4 linked regions of the Ovis aries genome follow. The protein of the gene in region 2 purifies or fractionates together with the protein of the main gene of each other region. This does not show direct contact. Links are inferred from orthologs where the notes say so. Each region holds a gene or a part of one and is shown on either strand. Other genes may lie near its edges. The genes, in order: ECH1, MAPK6, CEP170 and ECI2.

Region 1 (7,658 bases), on a different chromosome or scaffold from region 2:
AAGAAAAAAGAACTCTGTGTGACCTCAGCCAGTTCACTCCATCCTCTGGGTCTCTGCTCTGAAAATTGAGGCTAAAACCCTCCCGAGAGCTCATGGGGCTGCAAGGATTCAAGAGACAGAGCTCATGGCGCTTTGAGCAGTGCCTGGCATGTAATGGCATCACAATAGTTCCTATTATTATACACTCCATCTCTGCCAAGGCCAGAACCGCCTGCATCAGTCTGCAGGCATCTGCTGGCTTCTATACCAGGTCTGAGAAGCTTGTATGACTCAGTGGGAACCACGCTTACTCCCAGAACAAACTCAGCTCGGCAACTTGCGACACCTCCTCCCACTGGCTTTGCTGGTTTATCTGCCCTACTTGGATATTCAGACATGGGTGGTTGTCTGCAACCCCTTGGAATAAAGGGCCCCAGCTTATGGCACGAGGTCTTTTCCCTCCAGAGCCAGAACTTGTTTTTGAGGAGTCTCCCATCTCGCTCCCTGGGAACCTCTAAATGTTTCAGATCTCATTCATCGTCACAATTAAGTTATTCATCATCATCAAGAATAACAGCTACATCAATAAAAGTTTCACATGAGTTAACATTTGGTGCCTGTTAACTCGTTTAATCCTTGATGCAACCAGATGAGGGGGGTGATGAGTTGCTAAGTTGTGTCCAACTCTTTGCCACCCCATGGACTGTAGCCTGCCAGGCTCCTCTGTCTGTGGGATTTCTCAGGCAAGAATACTGGAGTGGGTTGCCATGTCCTTCTCCAGGAGATCTTCCCGACACAGGGATCAAACCTGTGTCTCCTGCTTGGCAGGTGGATTCTTTACCACTGCACCCATGGGTGCTCATAGCATCTCCACTGTCTTCAGATCAGAGGCTCACAGAGAGGTGAAGGTGTGTAGAGGTGGCAGGTGGCTGGTTACTGGGCCAGGAATACTCTGAATCAGCTTGCCACACATCTGGGCCATAGTCACTCAGTGGTGAAGGGCAAGGATTCTGCAGCCAGGCAGCCCACATTCAAAAATCCAAACAGTGAGGACTGGATACACTTCTTGCTCTCTGTGGGTCTCAGTTTCCTCCTCTATCAAATGGGGATGATGACTGAGCTTGTCTCATAGGGCTGTGGTGAGAATTAATTAACATGTGTAAAGTGCTTAGAGACACTCCACAAATGTAAATAAGTCTGGACTGGTTTTTTTTTTTTTAATTAGCAGTTTCATTCAATCTTTAAAACTGCTAATTAAACTGAATGTCTTCTTTCTGGCCTTTAGGTTGAAAATGGGACGAAATGGGCACAATCAACTAAGAGCTGAAAGATGAGGACCTCTGGCCTGGCACAGCTAGAGATGAACCCTCATCCTGTCCTATTTCAAGGCTGGTGTCACCCAGGAAGCGGGCTGACACTGGAGTGATGTCGCTGAATGTTGAATGGATGAACAAAGAAATGAAGGAGAACAGAAAAAGGAAACAAGGGACAGGCGAAAATGTTACAGAGGAACAGAAAGAACAAGGGCACAGAAGGAAAGAGAGGAAACACAAAGAAGTACATTGTTTAATGTCCAGTCTTCCCCACTGAATGAGGGGCAGGGCCTGGGGCTATCTCAGTCACCGCCGGGTACCCAGCACTGGGCTGGGCCCTGTGCAGAAATCAGTGTATGTGACCCTTCACTTCTGGCATGGAGCCTCCCACAGATGCCAACTATGTGCCCTAGGTGAACAAGGTCCAATTACCTGAGGGCACCAAGCAGATTCTTCTAGAAGGAACCAGCCAAGTGAGTTACCTGGTTTTTTTTTTATTTAACCTGAGTACAGGGTGAAGTTGTGCCTGAAGAACCACAGGACAGAGCCCAGGGGGACCTCAACTGATGGAAAATGAGGGGGGGAAAATTCCAGAAAGCAGACAGCCAGAGAGGGGAGCCCCAGATTCTGTGTATGAGCTCTGCCCAAATGTCTATAACAAGAGATCCCATGAACCAGACCTACAGCCCAGCAAAGAGATTTAAAAACTGATATCAACTTAGCTGCTAAAACAGGAAATTCAGCACTATGGAATTATGTAATAGGATCTAGAATTTCCACATCATTTTCTCCCATAGTCCAACATCCAGGATACATGCAATCCAACCTTACTCCAAAAACAAAGAAACAGGAAAATGAGACCCTTTTTTTTTTTTTTTTTCAAGAGAAAAGGTAATAAACAGAGATTGACCCCCAAGGCGGCCCCGATGTTGGGATCAGGAGACAGGATTTTAAAACAGCCATTGTAACCATGCTGAATGACACAAAGAAAAATATGATTGCGACGAATAAAAAGATATGAAACTTCAGCAGAAGAATGGAAACTATATAAAAAAAAGTGGAATCTACGATATAGGCATATCTCATGGTACTGCGCTCTGCAATATTGGGTTTTTTACACCTTGAAATTAAAAAAAAAATCACTAGATGGGTTTAACAGCAGAAGAGAGATGACAAAGGAGATGATGAACCTGATAGATGGAAATTATCCAACCTGAAGAATAGACTTGTGGGACAATCAAAAGACCCAACAGACAGAAAATCAGTTCATGTAGGTTCAAAATTAATTGCACAAAAGCATGTATTTAAGAAAAAAAGGTTTTGGCCACTTCATGTGCAGCTGGCGATCTTAGTTCGCCAACCAGGGACTGAGCCTGGGCCCCTGCAGTGAAAGCACCAAATCCTAACACTGGACTGACTGATAGGGAAATCCCCAGAAAGCATGTAATTATCACAACACATTTTATTGACACACACAAAAAAGACTGAGAGGTCAAGGGCCTTGATCAAGGCCATAGATTCAGCTTGAAAACCCAGACTTTAGAGCCCGTGATCCTGTCTTTTGTTGGACTAATTTCTACATTTGAAAATGATTTAAGTAGACCTTCCCCAAGTAAGAGCTTCCCTGGTGGCTCAGACGGTAAAGCGTCTGTCTACAATGTGGGAGACCTGGCTTTGATCCCTGGGTCGGGAAGATTCCCTGGAGAAGGAAATGGCAACCCACTCCAGTATTCTTGCCTAGAAAATCCCATGGACAGAGGAGCCTGGTCTCCATGGGGTTGCAAAGAGTCGGACACGACTGAGTGACTTCACTTTCTTTCACTTTCCCCAAGTAAAAGGTGGCGCTAGTGGTAAAGAACCTGCCTGCCAATGCAGGAGACATGAGACATGGGTTCGATCTCTGGGTCAGGAAGATCCCCTGGAGAAGGGCACAGCCACTCACTCCAGTATTCTTTCCTGGAGAATCCCCATGGACAGAGGAGCCTGGTGGGCTACAGTCCATGGGTTGCAAAGAGTCGGACAACTGAAGCGACTTAGCATGCATACAAAGCAGAATTTAGAAGCTGCTTAAAACCCTAATTATGAAGCATTATTCTATTCCCAGGAGCAGGGGAGACTGGCAGGGGTGGGTGTGGAGAGCAGCTGGTACCTGAAGTGAACATTTTTCCTGCACCAGAGATCACCACCACACGACAGTCAGAGTCTTCTGCAATCTTGTTGAAGCATACCACCATCTCTCTGCGGAGGGGGAAAGGAGGAAGGGCTGTGTCGGGGTGGGAATCCCCTGCCCTCAGGCCCTCCCCTGCCCAGTCCCTCAGCCCCTGCCTCCTCGTGCAGGCAGGCCTCCAGGATCTGCAGGCCAGACCTCCAGAAGGCCTTGTTCATGGCATTTCTCTTCTCAGGCCGGTTTAGTTGCACATGCAGAACATGTTTCTGGGCAGCTGTCACCCGAAGGGACTCATAGCTGTGGCCTGGGGCTTCCTCTGGGGATGCTTCGGAGGCTTCCTCTTGTGCAGAGGCACTCATTGGGCGAAGGCTGAGACCCAGGTTGGTGGAGGCTGTCAGTCCTGGGGAGACAGAGGTAGGAAGTGCCTTTGATGACCCTGAATATGGGGCACAGCACCTTCAAGGGCAGAGGGTACACATCTCAGTTGACACTAGGTTGGGGGACACACGCCTATGAGAGGCCTTGGTTTAGGGGATATAGACTTTAAGATGGGCTTCCCTAGTGGCTCACTCGGTAAAGAATCTGCCTGCAATGCAGGAGGACTGGGTTCCACCGCCTTGATTAGGAAGATCCCCTGGAAAAGAAAATGGCAACCCACTCCTGTTTTCTTGCCTGGGAAATCCCATGGACAGAGGAGCCTGGAAGGCTACAGTCCATGGTGTCACAAGAGCCAGATGCCATGGAGTGACTAAAGCACCACCACCCCCACCAGAGTTTAAGATTCAGGTGCATTTATCAGTGGCCTCAGTCTGAGGATCACTTCAGACCCACGATTGTGGTGCACGCTAAGTTGCTTCAGTCGTGTCTGACTCTTTGCAATCCCTCTGGGCCATAGCCCGTTAGGCTCCTCTGTCCATGGGATTCTCAAGGCAAGAATACTGGAGTGGGTTGCTGTGCCCTTCTTCAGGGGATCTTCCCGACCCGGGAATTGAACCCGCGTCTTTTAGTCTCCTGCATTGGCAGGCAGGTTCTTACCACTAGCGCCACCCAGAAAGCCCTGTGATCGTGGTACTCACTCCAGACTGAGTACACTGAGCTTGTCAGCGGCCCAACTGTAAGCCAGAAGCCCTCTGGATGGGGGCACATAGACCCGTGAGTTTAATAAGGGGTTCGAACCCTGGGTGACCCTGGACAGGCCTCTCCGTCCAGCTGTCGCGATGACAGGACGACAGCTCAACGGACCCCTTAAAGATCAAGAGGTGACTTACGCCGGGTAAGCAAGTCGCCGAATCGCCGAAAAGCCGCAAACGCTGCCGCCATTGCTACTGACTGGTGGTGTAACGCGACGGGAGTAAGCTTATGGGGGCGGGGACAAGAGGCCGCCATACTTGGTGAGGGCATCGAAGCCGCAGGCTGACGGCGGAGACGGTTCCCCTTTCCGCCATCTTTATCAAGGGCAACCGGAAACAGTCTTCTAAATTCGCGGCCATTAGAGTGATTTGACATGAAACCTTTAATCCACTAGGAACCTGGCCTAAGAAAATAGTTCACACTGCTTTTGAACATTCTGTACAAAGTTCATCACAGCTGTTTCATAAAGGAGAAACTGGAGACAACTGAATGTCCACGGGCATAATGGCGAAATAACTGCCGACCTCCCAAGTTTGCAATCATGCCTTTGTACCATAGCCGGGAGAAATATCAATAACCTCAGATATGCAGATGACACCACCCTTATGGCAGAAAGTGAAGAGGAACTAAAAAGCTTCTTGATGAAAGTGAAAGAGGAGAGTGAAAAAATTGGCTTTAAGCTTAACGTTCAGAAAACTAAGATCATGGCATCTGGTCCCATCACTTCATGGCAAATAGATGGGGAAACAGTGGAAACAGTGTCAGGCTTTTTCTGGGGCTCCAAAATCACTGCAGATGGTGATTGCAGCCATGAAATTAAAAGACGCTTACTCCTTGGAAGAAAAGTTATGACCAACCTAGATAGTGTATTCAAAAGCAGAGACATTACTTTGCCAACATAGGTCCGTCTAGTCAAGGCTATGGTTTTTCCAGTGGTCATGTATGGATGTGAGAGTTGGACTGTGAAGAAGGCTGAGCACCGAAGAATTGATGCTTTTGAACTGTGGTGTTGGAGAAGACTCTTGAGAGTCCCTTGGACTGGAAGGAGGTCCAACCAGTCCATCCTAAAGGAGATCAGTCCTGGGTGTTCATTGGAAGGACTGGTGCTGAAGCTGAAGCTCCAATACTTTGGCCACCTCAGGTGAAGAGTTGACTCATTGGAAAAGACCCTGATGCTGGGAGGGATTGGGGGCAGGAGAAGGGGACAACAGAGGATGAGATGGCTGGATGGCATCACTGACTCGATGGATGTGAGTCTGAGTGAACTCCAGGAGTTGGTGATGGACAGGGAGGCCTGGCGTGCTGCAATTCATGGGGTCGCGAAGAGTTGGACACGACTGAGAGACTTAACTAAAAAGGAAAAAATAGTTCCCACCAAAGTTATCCACATAATGGAATGTGAATACAGACGGCCCAACGTTAAACTCTGTGTAATCTGAGTTGCCCCACCACACCCAAAGAACCCGGTTCTCCTGCACTGCAGGAGTTCCTTACTGACTGAGCCACCAGGGAAGCCCATCTTCACGTCTGTCTCCCTAAACCAAGGCCCCTCGTAGGCTGCTGGGGGCGGGGGTCTTACTGTTACATCTACCTCCTCACTTGCTCCAGGTCTATTTTACATTTGTATGCAGAAGAAACTGGCTGGGGAGAAGTCACTAGTTCAAGATCTCTGAGCTTCAGGAGTGCTAGAGGGGATTTATATGTACAGTAAGTACACGTTGAAACTTTCTTTCAAAAGTAAAATGACTTTGGAAAAAGCTAGTTAACCCTAGAGTATTAAAAAACAAAGCAAAACTGGGGCTTCCCTGGGGGTCCAGTGGTAAAGAATCCGCCCTGCTATGCAAGGGACAGGTTGGATCAGTGGTGAGGTTAGATTCCACACGCTATGGAGCAACCAAGCCCCTGGGCCACTATTTCTGAGCCAGCACTCTAAAGCCTGTTTTTTTTTTTTTTTTTAAGTGCTATTGAAGTGCTTAAGTATGCTCTTGTAGGAGGTGAACAGGTGTCCCTGACACATGGGACTGAAATGAATATTTTGCTGTCTTTCTCCTCTTTTGGCTGCACCCTTGACTTGCTAGCTAAGTCCCATTTTGCCTTCTTCACATGTCAGATGGTAAAGCTCTTTTGGAAGACAGAACTGTTTGGTTATCTGGAACTACTAAGCAAGTACCAAGATTTGAGAGAAATTTAAAGAGGTAGTACATTTAGTTAGGTTGGTATAAAAAGACAGTTGTGAAACAATTGAAGGCAGAAGGGGGTTGACAGGACGAGATGATTGGATGGCATCACTGACTCAATGGACGTGGGTCTGAGTAAACTTATGCACAGGCTACCTAGGAAATATAACGTGGGATGAAAGCTGAGTGCCCCTGGGAGTCAGAGTAGGTAAATTTACTTTTTACCCAAGTAGCTTAAAACCTAGTAGATTGTGTAAGTTATGGCTGCCAAGTGACTGTAGTTTCTTTGTTTAGAGGTTCTCTTAAGTTTCAACCCTGATGAAGCAGTTTATCTGATGTCACTTGACTTCAGTAGATACTGTTTAAAAACTCTACAGGAAAACCCCAAAGTGGTGATACACATCCAAGTGGGGGATACACATATGCGAGGCACTAGACTTTGTTCCCACTCACTGCTATCAGGGAATATCAACAGTAATTGAACATACCCTTTAATCCAGCAATTCCACTGCTAGGAATTTACTTCTAGATCAGTATCAGAGAAGTTGCTTAAGAAGTTTGTGTAAAGATACACATCACAGTACTGTTTGCAAAACCAAATAAACGGAAATTACCTTCAGGACCAAGTAAACTATGACACATCCACACATTAGGAGTAAAGATAAGAAGGCTGCCTCGCATGTGATAGGAGATCGCTGTACAGTACAATGCATTCTGTTACAAGACACACAAATTGGAAAACTTCCCTTGTAGACAAAAAAAACAGACTCAGAATTCCCAGCATCATCCCCAAGCCACAGCTCTGGCCCACACTGCTCCTCGGAGCTGGGTCCGTCCCTCTGGAGGCTGCAGCTGTTCCTAGCCATCCTGCCCGCCTTCAGAAGACTGAGT
Region 2 (7,896 bases):
AGGCCTACTCAGACAGCCATTTTGCTTTTTTGCATTTCTTTTCCATAGGGATGGTCTTGATCCCTGTCTCCTGTACAGTGTTATGAATCTCCGTCCTAATTGATGACACTTCAGATTTGTTAGAATAAGATACATAATCAAAACACATTTCACAGAACAGTGTTTTTACCCTTTGTTATAGGCTATGCTTTCTAGTTTTTTCTATTTCATTAAGAAAAAAATGCAGATCTTAATCCACCAAAATGACTTCACTATGTATGGCAGTTTGAAAAACTACTGAGAACTTAAACTCTTTACAGCCACACAAGAGTTACGAACTAAACTGACTACATTAATGACTCTACAACCCCAAAATATGCTTAAACATGATTTTAATTTCAAGAAATTTCTGCCCAAAAAGATGAAGTGGCAAATAACTACTGCAGTTTCAAGACCTTCGTCAAAGTCCATTTAACTGAACAACAAAGAGACCTAGCCTTCATCAAGGTAAACAGCCCCTCCTCCATAAGACTACTCTTGTTGACTTTTTAAGGTTTGCTTCAAAACTCTTCCCTAGGTCTAATAATCCAAAGATTTGTTGTTTGTTGTTCAGTCACTCAGTCGTGTCTGACTCTTTGCAACCCCACAGACTGCAGGATGCCAGGTTTCCCTGTCCTTCACCATCTCCAGGAGTTTGCTCAAACTCATGTCCGCTGAGTTGGTGATGACATCCAACCATCTCATCCTCTGTCGTCCCCTTCTCCTCCTGCCTTCAATGTTTCCCAGCATCCGGGTCTTTTCTAATGAGTCAGTTCTTCGAGTTAAGTGACCAAAGTATTAGAGTTTCAGCTTTAGCATTAGTCCTTCCAATGAATATTCAGAGTTGATTTCCTTTAGGGTTAACTGGTTTGCTCTTCTTGTAGTTCAAATATTATATCACAAAATGTAGTCCTATCTCAAACATGCTTTCAGGAGAAGGCAATGGCACCCCACTCCAGTGCTCTTGCCTGGAGACTCCCATGGATGGTGGAGCCTGGTAGGCTGCAGTGCATGGGGTCGCTAAGAGTCGGATACGACTGAGCGACTTCACTTTCACTTTTCACTTTCATGCACTGGAGAAGGAAATGGCAACCCCCTCCAGCCTTCTTGCCTGGAGAATGCCAGGGATGGAGGAGCCTGGTAGGCTGCCGTCTATGGGGTCACATGACTGAAGCGACTTAGCAGCAGCAGTAGCAGCAAAAATGCTTTCACTGAAAGACCTGTTTTTAACCCAAATTCTCTGAAGCTATCCTACCCTTGACCTCTTTCTCTAAGATGCTACTAAAACTCTGTCAACAAATTTGGCTTTGCTTGATCAACAGGTTATTTCGGTGGTCTTTGACACATTATAAGCTCCCTAAGGGAAAGCATAGCGCTTCTTATTTATTCTCTACCCTCTCCTCATCACTGCAGATCGTGATGCACTTGCTCCTTGGAGGGAAAGTTACGACCAACCTAGACAGCATATTAAAAAGCAGAGACATCACTTTGCCAACAAAGGTCCATTTAGTCAAGGCTGTGGTTTTTCCAATAGTCATATATGGATGTGAGAGTTGGGACTATGAAGAAAGCTGAGTGCCAAAGAATTGATCCTTTTGAACTGTGGTGTTGGAGAAGACTCAGTCCCTTGGACTGCAAGGAGATCCAACCAGTCCATCCTAAAGGAGATCAGTCCTGGGTGTTCATTGGAAGGACTGATGTTGAAGCTGAAACTCCAATGCTTTGGTCACCTGATGCAGAGAGCTGACTCATTTGAAAAGACCCTGATGCTGGGAAAGATTGAGGGCAGGAGGAGAAGGGGATGACAGAGGATGAGATGGTTGGATGGCATCACCAACACAACGGACATGGGTTTGGGTGGACTCTGGCAGTTGGTGATGGACAGGGAGGCCTGGCGTGCTGCGGTTCATGGGGTCGCAGAGAAGGACACTACTGAGCGACTGAACTGAACTGAACCCTCTCCTCCTGATGTTCAAACACTGATGGATGGGGGAAGAAAGGTGTCATGAATTTCAGGGGAGCTCCAACAGGCAGAGCAGGGATGTACAGTAGTCAAAGAGGAGCTCTTGTTGTAGAAAAGCGGCATTCACAAATAAGAAATCCTGTGGTTTGGACAACTCTTCCCTTTTTCTTGGTTTCATCTACTCATTGCGTCCTCTTCACACCTGCTATTCAGATGGTATTACTTTTAATATAAAAAAATATAAACCATTCAAACTCCATCCCACTCACTTAACTGCAAGCTAGTATGTGAGCTTTGAAGTGGTCTTTGCCTCCAGCTTGAGGATACGCATAATAATAGATACCGGGTTGCCAAACCTTTGGTTCTCACCAGGAATGGTGATTCGGTCCCTGAAAAAAATATGTTGACCTGTGTCTCTAATTTAATACCTACTACATTTCACATAAATACTGGAAGGCTTCCTGGATTGAATCAGCCATACTAAAATGAATAAATAAATAAGCTTTTTTTTTTTTTGTCCTAGTGGGCCCAAGAGGGTACCAATCTACATTTCCCACTTACCTCGCTGTACACTCTGGTCCAAATTCTACGCTTCCCTCAGACTGGCTTAGTCCCAGCTCCTGCAACAAGCCAGGTGCTCCCCTCCTCCACGTTGTGGCTCATTCTGTTCCCTCCGCAGGAACAGCCCCCCTCCTCCGCCAGGCCATCTCCTCTAGTTTCAAGGGCTCCTTCTCATTTAGCTGAAAGGTCAGCGGTGGCAACCTCATTTAGAAGCCTGCCTTAGCACTTGACCTTTAACGCGTTTGCCTTCTTCCTTGGCTGTTGCTTTCTAGCCCATCCATCTTCGGGTCCAGCTTCCTAATTCCCAGGGGATGGGGAAGTCTTGCTCCTCTAGGCCGTCCAGTCCCATGCACGTAGTAGGTGTGCAGTAAACGCTCACAAAGAGTTTGACCACCATGTGCTCTAACGCTGGGGCAAGTAGCAGAGCGAAGAGAGCCTGTCTGTTCACCTCCTTGCCAGCTCCCTAGCCCAGCCCAGCGCATCCAACCGGAGGCGGGGGACAAGCCCGCGTACTTCTCTTGCCGCCCCCGCGGCGCGCGGAGCCCAGTCCCGGGCGTTGGAAATTCCGGCGCGTGCCGGCGCGCTGGGCCGGGCGGGGGCGGGGGAACCCGTGGAGTGAGCCTGTGACGTACGGGGGCGTGGCTCCAGAGCCTCCGCCCCCTCTTCCTCGCCCTCTCTCGCGGGTCGGGGTTACATGGCGGCGACTGCGGCAAAGCGAGAGCCTCGGAGACGCCGCTGCCGCCAGCACAGCCGGAGACCTGAGCCGACACTGGGGGCTGTCCGTGGGCCCTGCACTCCCTCGATGAGTCGGAGAAGTCCGGTAGGTATATGTGTGTGCGTGTGCGGGGCGCGCCGGCGGGGCGGCTCAGGAGGGCGCCGCGGCGGGCCCGGCGGCTGAGCCGGCTCTCTCCTCCATTGTGTGTGACCCTCCGGCGGCCGTCGCTCAACAAAGGCGCTTTTGTTCCGTCTCCCGCCCGCCCTCGGCCCGCCCGCCGGCTCGCTCTCTCGGGCCTGGCCGGCGCGTCCTCCCGCGGGCCGCCGGCGGCGGGCCGGGGTCCCCGCGTGGGGCCGGCAGAGCGGCCGGCGCGCCCCTCCCACCCGGCACGCCCCTCGCGGGCCGGGGTGCCGGGCCCGGCGGTGCGCGCCGGCCTCGGGCCAGGCTTGCCGGCTGCCTGCCGACCGCTTACGTCTGGCTCCGCAGGTTCGAAACCCGGCCCGGCCGGCGGCGGGCTGACGCGGGGCGGCGGCCGGGAGGGGCTACTCGCCTCAGCAGCGTGAGGTGGCGCGGAGTCTAGCCTTCCTGGCACGCCGCCTTTCGAAATGCTCCCGCGTCTCCTCCCCCATCCCACTCCGGTGACTCGGCCTCAGCTGACTCCGGCCGGGCAAAGTCTCCCAGTGCACAAGGCACATTGCGTAGCGCGCCGCTCACTCGACTCGGCGCGGAGCCCCGAAGTCCTCTGCCCGAGTTGAATCTGGCCGCTAAGGAGGTACAGAAAAACTCCAAATCGGAATTCCTAATTTCTTCCCCCTCCCTCTACTACAGTCTTGTCTGAGCTGCGTTCGGGACGCGCGCAGCGGTGGTGGTCCGTGAAAGTCCCCAAATGAAAACTTGTTTTGTCTGTTCACAGAAAAAGGGCTTCCTCGCTTCTCGGTGCATATTTCTCTGATTTGGTGAGGCTCGTTGATAAGTAAGGATTTTTTTGGCCGCTTTTTGTTCCTTAATTGGTAAGATTGGTTCAGGTGTTAGGTGGGAGCGCTCCGAAGCAGGATCTTTTCGATTCCTTTCCTTTTTGTTTCTACCTTTGCTCGCTCATTGGGAAAGGTCCACTAACGTGAGGTACTGCATTTGCAGCACAATTCGTGTTCTTTTCCTTCATCGCTAAAAATGCCCTCCAAAGTCAGTCTGAGTATTTTTTTTTTTTTTTTTTACAGATACAAGATGATTTATCAAGGGAAAGAAAAATTAACAGGGGACAAAATAGAGCGATAACAGCTTCAGAGTAGTTTTCCGATTGTTTAAGTCGTCTAGCCTTGTTATTTTTTAAAGCTCTGATGGGACGCATCCTCTCTCTTGAACGTTGGGGAACTGAAATGGAAAGAGTAGTCTAATTAGAAGGTTGAAGGGATCAAACAGGACTGGGCCCTGAAAGGAAATTGCCTCTAGAGTTTCTTCTTAGAATGTCAGATATTTATGTTTGAAATAGGCTTGCTAATCGGTGGCAGAGACTTTACATTTCTTGAATGGGTAGTTGTTCCGACATGTTTAGGAAGGGCTTGCTATGTGCCAAGGAGCAGAGAGTCCTTTCACATCACTGAGTAAGAATTGCCTTGTGAAACTTGTAAAATTGCTTATTGGTGTCCTGAATTCAAGAATTGCAGTCGTCTAGGAAATATACCAGATTTGAGCAGGACGTGTTTTAATCACCTAAGAATTACTGTTAGAAAAAGAGCTCTGGGAAATGAAGGATTATTTATAAAAACCTTTATCTATGACCATATTTTGTAGTTCAGTTATTTGCGAAAGAGGATTAAAAATGTTTGCTACTTTCTGTGATTAAGAAAGAATCCAGAGAAGATTGATTTGAAGATCAGTTAATTTGCGATAGAAAAAGTATATGTTCTAATGACAAATGTTAGTACTAAAAGTGTTGCAGCATTTTGCATAAGTTCGTTTAAACATCGTGAGAATTCATAACAGAAAATAGTAAGGTTTGCTGACTCAGGGTACATTGCTGAGGGGATGGGGTCGGGTAGGAGGAAGCTTCGAAGTGCTGCAAGTTTTGAGTTGGGTGATGACTCATCCTGCCCACGGACTGCTACGTGGCCCTTTTTTTTTTTATACACTGTATTTTTTTTTTTAATGATAGGCTAAAATGCTCCTGTCTACATTATAATTCTCTCTCACACAGAGGAGCCACAGATTCTCTAAAAAAGTAATGGCTTCTAAAATTGCATTTTAAAGGGATATCATATATTCTGCAGGTGGAATTTGGTAACATTTGTTGAAAAGAAAGGTAAAATTAATTGCTAGTCAGTTGGGGCAATGAAATATTTGATCCTATGGGTTGGCCAAAAAGTACGTTTGGGTTTTCCTGTAAAATGTTAGGTGAAAACCGGAGGGAACTTTTTGGCCAATGCCACAGCAGTTCCTTGGCTGTTGATGAGAGAGATTTCTTATGGATTTTTTTTACAGATAGTACTTTTATGGTATAGATAGAAATTAACCATTTTGTTTTCATTGGTAATGTAAAAGTTAACTTTGTACTATCTAGAATTTAGTTTGTATTGTAAAAGTACAGCAGTGTTTAATCAGATACAGCTCTGAACATGAGCATTTCACTCTGGTGGAATTATATATAGTGCTTTCTCCTTTTTTCTAATCTATATTAATTTAATAGACTGTAATATATAATAATTTAGTTTAAAAGTTAAAATAGGTATTGTTATAGGCACTATTTTTTCATCAGTCCTTTTGGATTTACATTGAAATTTGGTAATAAAATATTTTGACTGATTGTAGAAAGCCATTGTTTAGCAGGTTGGCCTAAAATAAGATTGAGAAAAAAGGGGATTGAGAATAACAATGTGTTTTAAAAGTGAGAAGAAAAACTCGCCACTCTCATATTTTTCTTTGTATATACTATTTATCTTCTCAGTGATTTATTTGAATGGTTTTATGGGCAGTAAAGTGTATTAATGTGAATTAAGTCTTTGAAGAGATTTTGGAAGAACATTGCATGATTTATAGAGGGGAACTTTAGTAAAGTTTAATTCAAACTTTATACTTCCTACTAAAGCAAATATAAAAATACAAGTATGAAAGTATTAGAGACTTTCAAAAGCCTTCTAGAGGTTGAACATGTATTTCCAGTGTGTGTTTGTGTTTTAAGAATGTAGGTAATTACCTGTCATGCTTAATTCAGAATTTATAAACTGGTTATGTTAGTCTGTCTTCCTTCTGTGAGGTATTGACTTATGAAATGATGATGAGCCTCCCTGTTGCTATACAGTTCTGAGTTTGCATTGCCCACTTGAATTCTATGTTACTTTAGGGCCCCTGTTAAAATAGAACATGCCTCAGTAGTAAATTCTTTGTAGCATTGTTGGCTTCCTACTGTCAGCTCCTTCAGCCTGATTTGTGGGCTGTTAACATTACCCTATAGCCTGCTAGAGATATGGAGATTTTGGTTGGTTTTATTGCTCAGTCCTGATTGAGACTTTACAAAAACAAAAATGTTATTGTAGTTACTGTTTTTTTTTTCCCCCCTTGGGAGTTGCTTTTCATGTGGAACTGATGCCTTTAATAGTGGCATGGGCAGAGTCCACCAATGTTTCTTTTCCTTCTGAACTGCATATTTGGAAAGTGTAGTGTATCCCCTTTGATATGTTTTAAAAGGTTTATCTTACATAACATGTCCACCTTTTAAATCCATTTCTGAAAAAGTATACAGAGATTGCAGCAAATGACATTTTCCCATTGATTTTCATTTAAATTTGATGTCTTTTTCATAGGGGAAAAAAAATTTTAATTCAGGAAAGAGACTGTCTCTTCAGAATGTGAGAAATCTATGTGCATTTAATTCTGTACAACCATAAAACTATAAAATGTTAGTTTTTACAGAGGGGTCCTGGACATTTTATCTTCCCCCAGGTACATCATTTGACTGCTCAAGAAACTGAGGCCCAGAGTGATCTAAAATCTTGGTACAGGTGATTTCTGAACCAGTAGTATTAGCATCATTTGGGAGTTAAATGCAGAATCCTGACCCCATCTCAAGACTTATTTAGAAGCTACAGTTTAACTAGATTCTCAAGTGATTCAAACACATGTTCATTTCTGGAAACACTGCTAAGTGATGCATATGTAAGTTGCTCCGCTGGTTAGTGACTGACTTGGAAAACTCAGGTCTTCTGAGTGGCTCTTTCCATTGACTCTCCTGAAAAACATCAAAAGGAAGATTGAGAATCTAATCACTGTCCAGTAGAACTTTCTGTGACGATAGAAGTATTAGTATTTTACTCTGTGTTGTCCAGTGAGATAATCACTAGCCACGTGACAATTGAGCATTTGACAGGTGGCTAGTATACCCAAGGAACTGAATTTTTAATTATATGTATTTCTAATTAATTTATGCTTCACTGCATGAAGTTAGTGGCTACTGTATTGGACAGCACATATTTAGATGATCTTTGCCCACATTAAGTTTAAAATTATTTAAGCTGTAATTTAATAACTGATTAGGCTTAATTTGGGATTCCCTGATGGCTCAGATGGTCAAGAGTCTGCCTGCAATGTGGGAGGCCTGGGTTCAATCCCTGGATTGGGAAGATCCCCTGGAGAAGGAAATGGCAAC
Region 3 (7,909 bases), on a different chromosome or scaffold from region 2:
CAGATTCTTCATATACTATTAACAATAGTTCAAAAAATTATATTTAAAGTAAAGAAATGAGGGAAAGCTATAAAAACAAGAAACTATCATGGGGAAATTGTAAAACCATTTTGCATTTTTACATGTCTACTTCCTGGCTAGATACAAAGGAAAGAATTAGTAATGATTACATGTATAGTTATTGAGTTAACCAGAGAAATAACTTGTGAGGAAAGATCAAGAACATCTATGACCTTTTCTTTAAGAATGAACTAGACAAGACATTTTGGGAAAGTAATGGTGAGTAGGAAAAAACAAAAGAACTTTACATTTTGCATTTTATCTGATTGTATAGCAACACAATTCTAGAGTTGTCAGACACAAATGCTTAAAATAACGAAGTTTCATATACAAAATAATGCCATCATACTGTGTTTATTCAGAAACACACATTTTAACTTTAAACGGGAATTATTCTATCTAAAAATGGTCATTGATAATGTGTGAAGTGAAGAACTTCTGATTGTGCTTCTCTTCAGTATTAGTTCTGTTTTGTTTCCTTCCATAAGCTGTTATATAAACTATTTCATAAATAAACATAAAAATTAAAATGCTACTAAATAAATGATAAGTGCTGAAAACCGATGAAAATTTCCTAGTTGCATTTCTCAATTTATTGTTAAAACTATCACTAAAAATTAATAACAAACTTTTCTCTGCTTTGTTTGCTCTTGATTATGTTTTCACTATCTTATATTGTTATAACACTAAATTTTTATTTCATTTTAAAATATCTTATCTTTGAATAAGAACTCTTCACTCTATAATTACTGAAAGCAGTATTGTGGGTATTAAATACATGAATTCCCTGGTGGCTCAGACGGTAAAGTGTCTGTCTACAATGCAGGAGAGCCGGGTTCAATCCCCTGGAGAAGGAAATGGCAATCCACTCCAGTACTATTGCCTGGAAAATCTCATGGACAGAGGAGCCTGGTAGGCTACAGCCCATGGGGTCGCAAATAGTCGGACACGACTACAACAGTTTGAAATTAACTGCATCAAAATGCCTAATATTAAATAGTCTCAAATGTTTAAATAAAGGTTCATACTAAGGTTAAAGGAGAAGAACTAGGAGGAACATAATGGAAAACAGAATTTTTTTTTAACCAACCTCAAAAATTAAATGCCACTGGTACTATCATTCTGCACAGTATTTTCTTGTTTTCAAATGAAAAGTTAGAAGTGGTTATTTCTGTATCTAACACCTCTTGAAACATCAGTAGGCTGATGAAGATGTTCATCCAGACTAGTGATTTTACTCTTGCAGTTAGAATACTGAGAATGTTGACAGTTTATAACACTGCTGACAGATGGAAACAATAGGTAATAACCTTTCAAAGTCTAGACTCACTAGATTCAAGTCTCTTATCCCCTCAAAAAATCTTCACTTTGCCACAAGTACCAATTATAAATTACAGCTAACATTTAACAAGGGCTTATGTGTCAAGTACTGATCTTTACCCTTCTTCTTTTTTTAATCGTGATAATCTGTAGCTATTTTACTGTCCTTCACTGCATTAATCCAAAATCTTCCTGAGGACAGTCACTTTGTGTAGTTCCTTATGATATTCTCAGCATGTGGTATGTCTAATGCATAGTAGGCACTAAATTAATGAATGAGTCAACGTTTTAAATGCTTTAAATATTTGTAAAGCTGTTGGTCATGACCTAAAGGGTTAAGAAAAGGCAAAGGAACAGAAAGTGGAGTGAATTACTTCTAGTAGAATAAATATTCTTTAATGAAACTTTTGTTTTAGTCTGTATGCATGCGCGCATGCTCAGTGGTTAAGTCGTGGCCAACTCTTTGCGACTGTATGGATTGTAGCCCGCCAAACTCCTCTGTCCTTGAGATTTCCCAGGCAAGAAAACTGGGTTGCCATTTCCTCCTCCAGGGAACCATTCCCACCCAGGTATTGAACTCCTGTCTCCTGTGTATTATGCATTGGCAGGCAAGTTCTTTACCACTAAGTCACCTGGGAAGCCCCTAGCCTATATATATGACTCATATAAAATATATTTTTACTTACGGCTAAGAGTTAACAAAAAGTCTGAAGAATCACTGCTTTATTTGAATTATTTCATTTGCTCCTCACAAGAACCATGTAGATAATATCATAACTTCTACCTTAAAATAAGAGAAATGAGGTTTTCTAGATGTTATATGGGATGTTCAAGATGATAGACTATCTACGTCACTTTTATTAATGATATCACGATTACTATTAGTGAAACTTTAGTTAATTCAGATTTTCTTATGCTACTCATTGGGTACTATAGTAAGAAAATCTGAATTAACTAAATAAAGTTTCAGTAATAGTAACTGAGACATGATTAATAAAGACAAACAGGGTTTCAAGGCAGACAAGTCTAACTGAATTTAATACCTGGCTCTTCCACTAACCAGCTATGTTGGCTTTGGCCTAACTTAACCTTTTCGACCTCTATTTCCCCATGTGTAGAAGGACAGTCATAAGGTTGTAAGTTTTAAGTGATTTAATATATGTAAATAGCCTAGACCACTAAATAGAAGCTGTTGCGATTAAAATAATTATTAGTGGTCACCCGACCCCCCTCCCCTGCCCCGGGTCCAATAAACCACATTCAATTTTACACATAATATGAATGTGTAAAGAGAGCATCAGGAATTTACTGGATTATAAAGAGAGGTATGAGAGCTGGACAGAACAGGCATATAGCCATCCAAGAGTTTCTGCGGGCCTCGGGTAAAAAAGATGCCCAAGACAATCAGGGAGTTGGTTCAGGTCACTATGGGAATCAAGGGAAACAACGCTGCTTAAACGTAAAAACAAACACAACTATTTAATCCTTCCACAGCAACATCCATCTTCTTTCTCTGCAGTCTGGCAAAGGCTGGACCAAGGTGTCAAGAATCGCACCAGGTCAACTCCCAGCCACGAGGTCCCGGTATCAAGGAGCTAGGGCACAGAGGTTCGGAGAAACTCACCCCGGAGACTACGTTGACACTGCCCCAGAATCTCCTCCAGGGTAGAGTTCTCCGGGGACTTCGCCATGCACACACTCGGGGGCCAGAGATGGGTGTTGCGTGCGGAAGTGTCCAGTGTCCTCCCCTCCAAGAATAAGAGGCCTCAGCCCCTAGGATGCGCCCGCCTGCTTCCTGCAGCTGCTGTCACAGGGGATCAAGGAATCCCGGAGATTTCGGGCCTTTTTCCACCCTCGGGGCCTCGTGGTGGACGTCGGAAGCTGTAGTCCTCAGTGTCTAAGTCTACAGTCTCGAAGTTCCTACGAACCCGCCCAAAGACTACAATTCCCAGAGGGCAACGCGCTCGAAGCTCACGCTCTGGCGGTTTGGCGACCAGATCCGGTTGCCAAGAGACTGCTTGGAGGCTCCGCCCATTTCTGTAGCCTAGTCAGGCTTAGTCCTGCCTTCATCCCATCCTACTGTCTGGACCACCTAACTGACAGAAAGGGCTCGTTGAAAGGCTTTATTTATTCTTCTAAATTCACTAATATGCAGTTGATTCTTGAGGATTCTCAAGAACGCAAATAACGAGCTCCTACACCCTTCAGCCTCAACATCTCTCAACACTGCTAAATAAATTTTCAGGAAAAAGAAGCTCTGAATTTCCCAAACGGCGTAGATCGTGAAAGCGGCTGACACGCAATCTTATCAAGCCCAGCGACCCGACAGCAGCTTAGTGTTGGCGCACTGCCCGCTGGGAACTGTAGTCCCAGCCCGTTGCGGTCCCAGCTAAAGCCCGGGTCCTGTTCATTGTTGAAGCAGGTCTTCGGCGTACGCCTGCGCAGTCAGCAGCTGGAAAGGCCTGTGGTTGAGACCCTCCGCACAACTCCTTTTCATTGTCTGTGCTCGGCGCCTGCGCAGTAGGAGTTCGCCGGGACTGGGCCGGAGAAGGGGTAGGGCCGGGCTCCTCGCCCTCTCCCCAGGCGCCTGCGCACTGAGCGGCCGCTCCTTGCCGTTACCGCTATGTGCGGAGCGTGTGTGGAATAACGTTATTGCCCAGCAGCGCCGAGGGGCCCAGAGCTCGACAGCGGCGGCGGCGGCGACGACGACAGGGTGGGGGAGGACGCTTGCGAAAGACTCACGGGACGCGGCGCGCCCCGCCCCCCCGTCCGGTGCCTCTCAGCAGTGAGGGGTAAGTGATGCGCTCTGATGCCGTCGCCGCCGCCTTTCCACACCCTGCTCCTCGGGTTTGCAGCGGGGGCTCGGGCGCGGCCCGCAGCGGGCGAGGGTGAGGGCCAGCGGCGAGGGGCGCTTCCCCGAGGCTCCGCGCGCCGCCCCCTCCCCCGGACCTGGGACTCGGCGGGGACGCCCATCCCCCCAGAGTCCCCCCCCACCCCCCACCCCAACCCCGCGTCCCCTGGTCCAGCGGCCCGGCTTCCCCTGCTAGTGTCCACGTATTGAGTCGTCTTTGGCTGTCCTGGCTTTGTGCAGCCCCCTCCGCCCGAGCTGTTTGCAGGGGTGCGGGCGGAGCAGTGGAGGGAATGGCTGCGCTGCAGCTGGAGAAGGGGTTTTTCCCGGTCTGAGCAGCTCCCGGTGTCGACCCTTTTTGTGTGGTTGGTTTTGGGGTGTGGGGCGGTATGGAGAGGTCTGGCGAAGAGCGTTTTGGACGTGGTGGGAGGGCGTGGAAGATGTGGTGTCACTCAGCCCGCCGGGCCACAGCACCCGCGCAGGCTGTGGCTCCGTAGTAACCCGGGGGAGGAGAGAGTGGCTTCCTGTCGACTTCATTGTCCTGAGATTCAAATGTGGGCTTTGGTATGGGTCCCCTCATTGCCAGGGGAAGAAGAATTAGCAGCTGCCTAACCAGGGGCGGGAAGATGTGGGATTTGGATCCTAAGTCATAAAATCTCTGGGCTTTTGTTTTTTTTTTTAGTGTTTAGCGGAGTTTTTTTTTTTGAAAATGTAAGCTCCAGGAAGACAGGGACAGTGCCTGTCCAAGCATTGCCAAGGTGATCCATGTAAAATTACTAGATCACGATGAAGAAAGGACTAGGAAGGGCCTGACGACAAAGCTGTTTGTGTAGCAGGAAGATGAACAAGCAGAATGTTTTTTCATTGGGTGGGTAACGCATTCACGTTCCTAAGGGAATAGGGTAGGATACATCTTTCCGTTTTGTTTTTTAAGCACTCAGAATTAAAAATAGGCCTGGTACATTTCTGTTTCTGAATTTTTAAATGCATGTTTTTATTCTCTTAATGAAAATTTACCCGCTTGGGAGAAATTTAGTGAAGTAGATGATGCACTTGATTGAAAATGCATTGCTTAAAATGATTTTATTGTTAAGCTTACAGTGCATACAGTCGTTTGCTGGCATTAAAACCAGCAAAAGAGATTGAAGCAGGAAGGGGAGGACCCGGTGGAGGAATGATGTGAAAGGAGAGAGTTACATTATGAATACAGTATCCAGATCTTCACTAATATAACCTTAGCGGGGCATGTGCAATGATATAGGAATTCTACTCTGGAAATACTACATTGCACGTTACAAACCATTTTGTATTTTTCTGCAGTTTCTTTAAATAGTAAAACCAGTGCTGCTTTTACTTTTTCCTAACTTTATAAATTTTGTAGAATTTTTTTTTTGTTTTAAAACTGAAAAATCTAAATGCACTTGACAGAGACAGAGGAAGATATTAAAACTTGGAAAGTCAACTGATTTGTCTGTCCAAGCCCAACTGCTAATGAAAGGCAGAGTCAGATAAAACCAAGGTCTTTTTTCCAATGTGCTATTTCATCTGTGTCCCTTAGTCCCCCTACCCTGTCAAAATTGTGGAATGCTTTTCTGCATGCTCTTTGTCTGTGACAGTCAAGTTTATTAATACCTCATAGTCGTATTATCTAGTCTTTTTCTTTTGATGTAAAAGCAATACTAATGAAGAGGAACTTTAGTTTTATAAGTTAACTTTCTGATACAGGAAAAGATGCCTTAAAGTGGGCTTTTCGTAAAAACAGAAACTGTTGGAATTTTCCCCCTACTTCATATTAGTAACCATATTTTAATGTTATCTTTTGCTATTCAATACTATTTTATAGTATGATCAACTCTATAAACTGTTATAGGAGCTCATGAAGTTCATCGTTCTTAAATTCAGTGAATTTTGTTATATTCAAGTTAAACAAGAGCTTACTGTTTGAGGGAAGAAAATTCACATTGAACTTTTTAATTAAAATTATGCTCTTTTATTCAGTTGATTTTGCCAGAAAGTGGTTTTATTGTCTTATACTTTTTAATCCTTTAGTTCTACATTGTATTTTGATAGACTTTTAAAAGAGAATTAGTATGTCTCTTAAATTTCGTCTTACTTAAAAATAATCTGTAATTAAATTCATCATGTGGAATTAAATCAAACTTGAAATGTATTCTACTTTTAAATTTAATGATGTGCTAAAATTACTTTATTATGGAAGTAAATAACTCTGCATGCTTTTCAAATTTACGCTATAAAATTATCATACATAGTGTCAATTAGTATGAATATCTAGGTGATTTAAAAAACCCTATTGCTTAAGGATTTGTTTTATTTGTTCCAAGTATCAGTTTCTTGTTTCCTTTTATCTCTTAAAAAAAACCCAAAAGCCTCCCGAAACTAGTTTTATTGTTGCATCTGATAGTGACCAGCTGTCACTCATCTAGTACTAAATACTGTAAATGTTTAAACTTGTTGTCAGTATGGTTTTTACTCAACAAAATTCTGTCCCTGAAAAATAACTTGGTAAATAACTTGGTATTTTAATTAATGTGTAGTGATTTTCTTTTCTTCTTTATCATGAACATTGGGGGGATAACCAGTATACTGTCCTTATAAATATCTTAACAGACAGCATGATATTAAACTGCCAACTGAAATATCTGTATAGTTGTGAATTATTCTGCAAGTATATAAAAAAGAATTGCATACTGTCTGAAAAAAATTTGGTGGATAAATATTATTGACTGAAGCATTAAGTGTTATGTGTTTCAGTAAAAAATGAGTTTCCTCTAATGGGGAGAAACCTCAGACTATTTATATTTCATAAACTTTTGTTAATAACTAAGATTTCTAATAACTACCCTTGGTGAAATGGGTCTTTATTTACTCAAATATTTCTCGAGGGAAGTGCTCAGCAATGAGTAGCCAGTGTAGGCCGTCTAAAAGAGTAAGAAAACATCTGTCAGTAGTTGTTGTTTGGTTGCTAAGTCATGTCTGACTCTTTGAGACTGTATGGACTGCAGCATGCCAGGCTTCCCTGTCCTTCACTATCTCCCGGAGTTTGTTCAAACTCATGTCCATTGAGTTGGTGATGCCATCCAACCATCTCATCCTCTGTCGGCCTCTTCTCCTCCTGCCCTCCATCTTTCCCAGCATCAGAGTCTTTTCCAATGATTTAGCTCTTCGAATCAGGTATCCAGAGTATTGGAACTTCAATTTCAGCATCAGTCCTTCTAGTGAGTATTCAGAACTGATTTCCTTTAGGATTGACTGGTTTGATCTCCTTGCCCTCTAGTATGCTTGATTAAATTGGATATATAGTCCAGTTTAGTTGAAATGATTGTGCAACAGTATATTATATTTCTTGGGCAAAATGAATGACATAGCTGGTATGTACTAAAGTAAACCCCACTCCTATTCAGAGGTAGAAAGGAAACCAACAAAACCAAGGTTATAGAAATTTCTTTCATCCAATAGAGGTTATTCGAGGCATAGACATAGAATTGAATTCCAAGCATGCATTGCATAGGTTTGAAAAACAGAAAACAAAACACAGCAGAGAACAAGTTATTATTTAAGTGTATTGGTGGCTAACAAATAATATAGAAAATACTACCCTTTGGAACATAATATTTACTGAATACATGAGTAACGTATGTGTGTGCTTAGCTGTTCAGTTGT
Region 4 (7,194 bases), on a different chromosome or scaffold from region 2:
ACTTCTCAAAGCACCGGGAAATCAAAAAATTCCTTTGACTCACTTTATTGTGATATTTGCTTTATCCCGGTGGTCTTGAAGTGGACCCACAATATCTTCAAAGTGTGCCCATATACACACAAATTGACTCTCTGAACATACACAGTTTGATGAGTTTTAAACAAATGTATAGTCATGTAGCCACTACCATAGTCAAGATATAGAATATTTCTATTGCCCGTAGTGGTAACGAACTTGCCGGCAGGAGGCATAAGAGGCAGAGGCCCGATCCCTGGGTGGGGAAGATCCCCTGGAAAAGGGCATGGCACCGACTCCAGTGTTCTTGGCTGGAGAATCCCGTGGACAGAGGAGCCTGGTGAGCTCCGTGAGGTCGCAGGGTCAGACTGAGCACACAGCCTCGGGTTCCTCGTGCCCTTCCGCAGTAAGCCTGTTCCTCTCATGCCTGAGCCACCACCGATCCGGCTCTGTTCCTACAGTTTTGCCCTTTCTCAAATGTGTACAAATGGAATCGTGCATCCTGTACCCTCTCCTCCTTTTTCAGGCCTCTGTCCTTAGCAGAAGGCTCCTGGGTCTCCACGTTGCTGTCTCATGTACCAGGATTTTGCTCCTTCTTCTTTCTGAGCGGTACTGCATCCGATGGGTGTGTCAGGAGCCATCTATCCACTCACCAGTTGAAGCCATGGTGGCATTTCCAGTATTCTAGATATTGTAAGCTTATGATGAATGTCTATTTTCAACTCTCTTGGGTAAATACCCAGGCATGCAATTGCTGGGCTGTGTGGTAAATGTGTGGTTTAACTAAGAAGTTGCCAGACTATTTTCAGAGAGGCCGCACCATTTACCACCACCACCAGCAGTGTAAGTCCCAAATGCGCCAAGTCCTCCCTAAACCTTGTCATCAGCATCAGCCTTTTCAGAGTGTTGCCCACTCTCATAGGGGTGTCCTGGTGTCTTGGTGTGGTTTTAATCCCTTGGTGGCTCAGCGGTGAAGAATCCACCTACAATGTGGGAGACCTGGGTTCGACCCGTGGGTCAGGAAGATCCCCTGGAGATGGAAAAGGCAACCCACTCCAGTATTCTTGCCTGGGAAATCCCATGGACACAGGAGCCTGGCGGGCTACAGTCCATGGGGTCACAAAAGCATCACACATGACCGAGCAAGTAAACAACAATGACTAATGATGCTGAGCATCTTTTCACGTGTTTCTCAGCTATTTAGTGCCCTCTTGGGTGAAGGAATTTGCAATACTTTGCCCACTATTTTTAAGGTGGCTTGGTTATCTTTTTATTATTGAGCTGTAAGAGTTCTTTACATGTTCTGTTTACAAATCCTTTTCTTAATGGTGTCTTTCTCATATTTTCAAGAGCCAGTTATACTTTCTTTTCTGTGAGCCGTATTATTCCTCTCCAGCTTGTGTTTCTATATTACGTTGTTGATCCATCACTTTACTAATTCATTTTAAAAACTGTACTAGCAAGGTTGGCCTCTATTGCTGTTTTCTCAATTGTCTCGATTTTGCCCCAGAGGTTTTTGATTGGCTTTAAATACCCAAAACTACTTTAATATTGGTTATTTAGGCTACAGAGTCAGTCAGTTATTCGACTACAATAACTGTGTTTTCCGTGTTTTCCTAGATGTCAGAAATATTTTTGTGTTTCTTGATGAATGAAAAGTTCTTAGGAAATTAACTTATAATTTGACAATTCTGTAAACAGCATATTTAGACTTCATTTTCCATAATCCAGACATGGCTGAGGTTTTTTTCAATGAATACTGTTAGAAGATAAAAACATATGATGTGCAACACAGACAAGTCAAAATAATAAAAGTATAAAGAAAACAGATATTAAGGTCACCTGCCTTCTCTTTTGACCCCAAAAGAAAGCCTTTTGGAGAAAATGTGCTGAGAAGGAAGGAACATAATCAGGAAACAAAGAAGGAGCCAACCCTGGAAAGCGCCACAAACAGGTACACGGAAAGCGAAAGATCTGCGGCGTGTAACTCACTTATAAACATGATTATAAGCAACACTGAGCTAACTGTCAGGAATAAGAGCAATAGAGGCAGAGACGGTTAGATACGGCGTCAGGCTGCCTGGTGACCCTGGAGCTTCTTGACCTCTGTGCCACGGTTTTCTCATCTGTGAAATGGGGATGAGGGCCCCTGCCTCACGGGGCCGTTACTATGGGCACTTACTGAATACGTGTAATGGGCGTCAGCAGAGTGTCTCCTGTGGACTGACCACTCAGTTATCTAGTATTGTTATGACTTCCACCTTTTCATGAGCTCAAAGGGGAAATGTGCTGTTTGCTGATGGAGACACCAATAGACAGGCATGACCTACTGTCCATAATAAAGAATAATTGGTTATATGGGTTAAATGTTAACCCACGTTTAATATGGTATACATTCAAGAAGCCAGGAATGAACAGATCCTATAAAATCAATTCCTCTCCACAGCTTCTTTCTTCTGTGTCTTTCTCTGATTTGAAATTGAATCCTGGTTTAATTCAGTTGGGTGAACTCTCAGCGGTGGTCACTATTTGTCAAATATCTTACTGTGGGCCCAATCTGTCAGCATATATAATACACACACATTTCCCTCTGATTTCAATTTTAATTTAAGTTGTATCATAAGACGGAGTCCTGGGAATCTTTAAAAAGATGATGCCCGTGACAGTCACCTGGAATCTAGTGGGAGAATAAGATGGAAATATGACACTATCTGGCTTTCAAGTCCTACAGAAAGAGACCGCCAAGTTCAGGTCAGGAACTTCTGCTCTCACCCTGCTCAAAGCAGGTCAACTGATGGGTCATTTAACACACAGAATGGGACTGAAGACTGTGAATTTCTGCCTTTGGGCAGAAAGTTCTACCTACAAAGGTTAGGTAGCCAAGTGTCTAGAATTGCACTTGCTATTTTTACGGGGAAATTATTAATAAGTATTAGATCTGACAATATGCCCAATCAGATTGAAAGGAATCCAGTCAAAGATGGAGCAAGGAGTAAAGGACCCTTATAAATGGCCCTGTTACTGGAGAAGGTACCTCCAACAAAACCAGGAATCTCTTCAGCAGCAAAACCCAACTGTTCCCTGCAAGGATACGTGTACGTCAGCAAATTTCATTGCCACAAAAGCAAGAGTCACTCTAAGACTCTGATAACCCTAAGAGGTGGTTATTAGTTCTATAGGAGAAGTTCTAGGGTCAAAGCGCTAAGATAAATGTTTATCACATCTTTGTTTATAAGGAAAAAAACTAGACATGCTAGGGTTCCAGTGTCAGGGACTGGTTAAATTAGGTAAGCTAAATAACCCAAATGTTAGCACTGCTCATCTCTGAGTGGGGAGAGGAGTGATTTTATTTTTTAAAAATGTTTAGCATTTATCTACCTGGCCACAGCAGGTTTAGTGGTGGCATGCAGGCTCTGCACTGTGGCACGAGGGGTCTTTAGCTGTGGCATGCAAACTCTTGCTTGGCACGTGGGGTCCAGTTCCCTGACCAAGGGTGGACCTGGGCCCCCTGCATTGGGAGTGTAGGGTCTTCGCCACTGGACCACTAGGGAAGTCCCAAGGAGTGATTTTTAAATCAGTTGTTTTCCTTGTACTTTTCCATATTTTCCAAATTTTTATTTTCTGCTATGACATACATTACTACTACGGTAGGAACTGAAGTGCAAATCTATGTAATTCAATGGTGAGCACGAGGCAGTAACTTCTCTGAGCTTCGGTTTTCTTATCTGCTAAGGGGGGAGTGAAAGTAGATGCCGCCTGAAAGTCCTTTCTCAGTCTAGATTTCTAGACTCCAGGGTTCACTCACATTGAAAAAAAATGATCAGATAACTCACTTGCATAACCTTCAAAGCTGCTCTGTTTTTTTTCACCCGTGCTTTCAAGTCTGAAGGTCTCCCAACTATTTTAGAGCAAAGTTGAATGAGTCTTGCATCAAAGGCTGAGAGTAAACAGAACCAAAAGGGCTGGGACGATGCTGGAGACAACACTGGTGTTTAGGAAAACTCAGGTTAATAGTGAAGGAAGACCCGTCAAAGACGACTAATTCTTTGGGGAAAATGTAACTTTCATCCCTTCTAACCCCGACCGCATGCCCTCTGTTTACTATCGGCAACGCCAAAGCAGCCTTTGGAGGAGCGTGTCTTCACCAGCCTGACATCACTCGCTTCTGCCGGCGGACTTACCCGGTCGGTCGCGTACACGACATCAAACAGCCCGAGGATGGTGACGGAGATCCCCACGGCCGGACCGTTGACCACGGCCACCAGAGGCTTCGGGAAGTCTATGAAACAGTTGACGAAATCCCTGCAGACACGGCAACAGACAAGCGTGTTGAGCTGTTTGCAACAGCTTCACCGAGGTACAAGCGGGGCCGGGGGCCGGAACGCGCTTCTCTGGGGGGAGCTGGGGACGTTTCCACCTCCGGGCGCCTCCCTGGCCTGCAGCCTGCGATTCACCCAGGCCCCGTCTGCAGGACACTGGAGGGGTGCCTGCAGGGGCCCCGCGGCCGGCCTCAGTTCAGATCCTGCGTCCTGGGCCTTCCGTCAGGGCCGTGAGCCAGCGGCCACCTCGGAGTCGGCACGGGCCGCGGGGTGCCAGCGTGCTGGGCAGCAGGGTGCTGGGCAGCAGGGTGCTGGGCAGCAGGGTGCTGGGCAGCAGGGTGCTGGGCAGCAGGGCCCGTCTCCAGCCCCCTGCGCGCAGCGGGCCGGGCAGCGAGGCGCCCCCAGCCCGGGAGCCTCGGTGCGGCGGCGGCGGTGCTGTCGCCAAGTCGTGAGCGCCACGGCCTCGACGCGGAGACCCGAGCGCGCGCCGGGAGCGGGCGGCCGGGCCCTGGGCGGCTCCGTGCGGAGCGCCCAGGGGAACGGGAGTCACCGCGAGGAGCCAGACGCCCTTCCGGATGGCGGCGGGACAAGCACAGCCGACCGCAGGGAGCCCGGGTCTCTCCTTCCCGCAAGCTCAGACCCTGATGAACGGGCGAGCGCCCGGGGCAGCCGGCGCCTCACCTCAGGAGGACCGCGCTGCTCCGGGCCATCTCCTCCGGGCCGCCGGCCGGCAGGCTCGTGAAGTTGGTCAGGTCGTTCCCGCTGCAGAAGTAGTCCCCGCTGCCTGCGAACACAAGCACGGCGCCACTCCCGCGCCCGCGCCGGGCGCCTCCCGCGCCGCGTTCGGCGAGGGCACCGAGAGCCCGCGGCGCGCCCGCGCCCGCTGACCGGCGGCCGCCGCATTAAGCACACGCGGACGAACCAACGCGGCCGCAGCGGGGCTCGGGGAGGGGCTTTGCCGAGGCGGGGACAAGGGCACTGAGGCCTGCAGGGCGGACTGCGGAGGGGGGACAGGGGCGGGAACAGGGCGGGGTGTTCTCCGTAGCTGACAGCGCGTGTGAGGCTCTGGGGCGGGTCACCCGGCTCGATGGGCCCAGAGAGGCACCATCACAAATGGATGCGTTCAGCCTGCTCTTCTCGGTCCAAGACAGGTAAGTTAGAAGGGAAAGCAGAATTTAGGGAATCTACATGACATGAATTAGAAAGGCAAGTTTAATCGACATAATTATAACTCTACACCTTAACAATCTAGAGTGAATTTACTTTTAATTCTTAAAATTTTAAAATTTAAACATTTATTGTTATTACTTGACCAGGCTGTGTGGCCTATGGGATCTTAGTTTCCCTGACCACGGATTGAATCTGTGTGCCTGGCATTGGGACCAGGGAGGGAGTGGACCACCAAGGATGTCCCTGAAGTTACTTTTTAAGTGTTTCTGGATGATATAAAAAAAAATTAGTCATTTTTTTGCTTCTTAATCTTCAAGGTAGATATTTCAATATACATCTAGTATACATGAAATTTTAACAGATTCTAAAAAAAATCAGAAAAACTGATCATCTCTGATTATAAGCTAGGAATTGATAACAGAACTGCAAAACAAACAAAAATCCTTTCTGAAAACGGAAGGACCTATTATTACAATGCTTAGATGAAAAGAATAGGAAACCAAAGCGAAGGGTATATAGAAAATAACTAAGGAACAAGCATGTGAGCTAAGTCATGTCTGACTCTCTGTGACTCGTTGGACTGTAGCCCACTAGGCTCCTCTGTCTCTGGAGAGTCTCCAGGCAGGAATACTGGAGTGAGTTGCCATGCCCTCCTGGAGGGGATCTTGCTAATCCAGAGGTCGAACCGGTATCTCTTATGTCTCCTGCACTGGCAGGCAGGTTCTTACCACTAGCGCCACCTGGGAAGCCCAGAGAATAAGCACTATTTCTCAGCACTTAATCTTTCGGTTTTCTTACTTGTAAAATACTAGTAATAATAGGGCCTAATCTCATAGAGTTATTGCAAGAAAGCTTAGAAGAGTTACAAATTAAGAAAGCCACCAAACAGATTAAAATGCTTAGCCCAGTGCTCAGCAAATATGAAGTATGATACGCTTGTTGGCCGTTATGACCAGTTATTGTGAAACTCAGCAGTTTCACTTCTACAACAAGGATATCTTTGCACATTTACTGAAAGATGGATGTCTGAGGATATTCCTTGCAGCATGATTTTAATAGCAAAAGAATAAGTACAATCCACCTGTTCACTGGCAGAGGAATGATGACATAAATTATGGGGTCCTGAAACTTTCATACTTCGCAGTCCTGCAGAGGAAAACTTAGATGTGCAGGTGCTGACTGAGAACAAATTTTCAGGACATGCAGTTAGGACAGAAAGGTGGGTGTAGTATGTGTGTGTTATGTGCGTCGTCTTCTGTTTATAAAATGAGGGGCAGGGAGAACCACACACACACACAGGCAGTTTCTAGAAGGCTCAAGAAAAGCTGAGCTATCTTTAGGATGCAGGACTGGGGTTTCTAGCTTAGTTATTTGCCATTTTATAGTCTTTGGATTTTTAAGAAACGATGTGCCTGCATTGTACATTTAGTTTAAAAAATGTTCACTAAAAAGTCAGAACCTGTTCTCCTCCCGTACCCAGCCAGTGCTGCCTCTGGACTGTTCCTGGTGCCTTCCTTCTTCTAGGCATACAGTGGGATGCCAGAGCATCTTCATGCCTTCCCTGCTTCACCCTTTCTCATTAGCTGTTAGGTATCTTTCTCCTCACCTCTCTCTCACTCTCTCTTTTTCACTAAAGGTGCTCTGATATAATATTATATATTTTACAAATTTCAATGAGAATTAAAATCAC

What was found.
Region 1: the proteins of MAPK6 (region 2) and ECH1 purify together in Homo sapiens (affinity purification with mass spectrometry; 3 studies listed by BioGRID and IntAct, with this or other methods). This does not show direct contact. The link is inferred for Ovis aries from reciprocal best matches to the Homo sapiens genes MAPK6 and ECH1.
Region 3: the proteins of MAPK6 (region 2) and CEP170 purify together in Homo sapiens (affinity purification with mass spectrometry; 3 studies listed by BioGRID and IntAct, with this or other methods). This does not show direct contact. The link is inferred for Ovis aries from reciprocal best matches to the Homo sapiens genes MAPK6 and CEP170.
Region 4: the proteins of MAPK6 (region 2) and ECI2 purify together in Homo sapiens (affinity purification with mass spectrometry; 3 studies listed by BioGRID and IntAct, with this or other methods). This does not show direct contact. The link is inferred for Ovis aries from reciprocal best matches to the Homo sapiens genes MAPK6 and ECI2.

The regions. Positions count from the first base shown.
Region 1 is NC_056067.1:47,918,176-47,925,833, forward strand, and holds the start of ECH1 (delta(3,5)-Delta(2,4)-dienoyl-CoA isomerase, mitochondrial), read right to left. Parts: upstream 4,794-7,658; 5' UTR 4,780-4,793; coding exon 4,728-4,779; intron 3,860-4,727; coding exon 3,658-3,859; intron 3,531-3,657; coding exon 3,442-3,530; intron 1-3,441. UniProt on the Homo sapiens protein: Isomerization of 3-trans,5-cis-dienoyl-CoA to 2-trans,4-trans-dienoyl-CoA.
Region 2 is NC_056060.1:56,516,564-56,524,459, reverse strand, and holds the start of MAPK6 (mitogen-activated protein kinase 6), read left to right. Parts: upstream 1-3,214; 5' UTR 3,215-3,362; intron 3,363-3,939; exon of another isoform or gene 3,940-5,556; intron 5,557-7,896. UniProt on the Homo sapiens protein: Atypical MAPK protein. Phosphorylates microtubule-associated protein 2 (MAP2) and MAPKAPK5.
Region 3 is NC_056065.1:33,148,142-33,156,050, forward strand, and holds the start of CEP170 (centrosomal protein of 170 kDa), read left to right. Parts: upstream 1-3,897; 5' UTR 3,898-4,172; intron 4,173-4,483; exon of another isoform or gene 4,484-7,909. Other genes in the region: SDCCAG8 (serologically defined colon cancer antigen 8), read right to left, coding at 3,005-3,071.
Region 4 is NC_056073.1:49,166,167-49,173,360, reverse strand, and holds part of ECI2 (enoyl-CoA delta isomerase 2), read right to left. Parts: intron 5,119-7,194; coding exon 5,016-5,118; intron 4,318-5,015; coding exon 4,197-4,317; intron 1-4,196. UniProt on the Homo sapiens protein: Able to isomerize both 3-cis and 3-trans double bonds into the 2-trans form in a range of enoyl-CoA species. Has a preference for 3-trans substrates.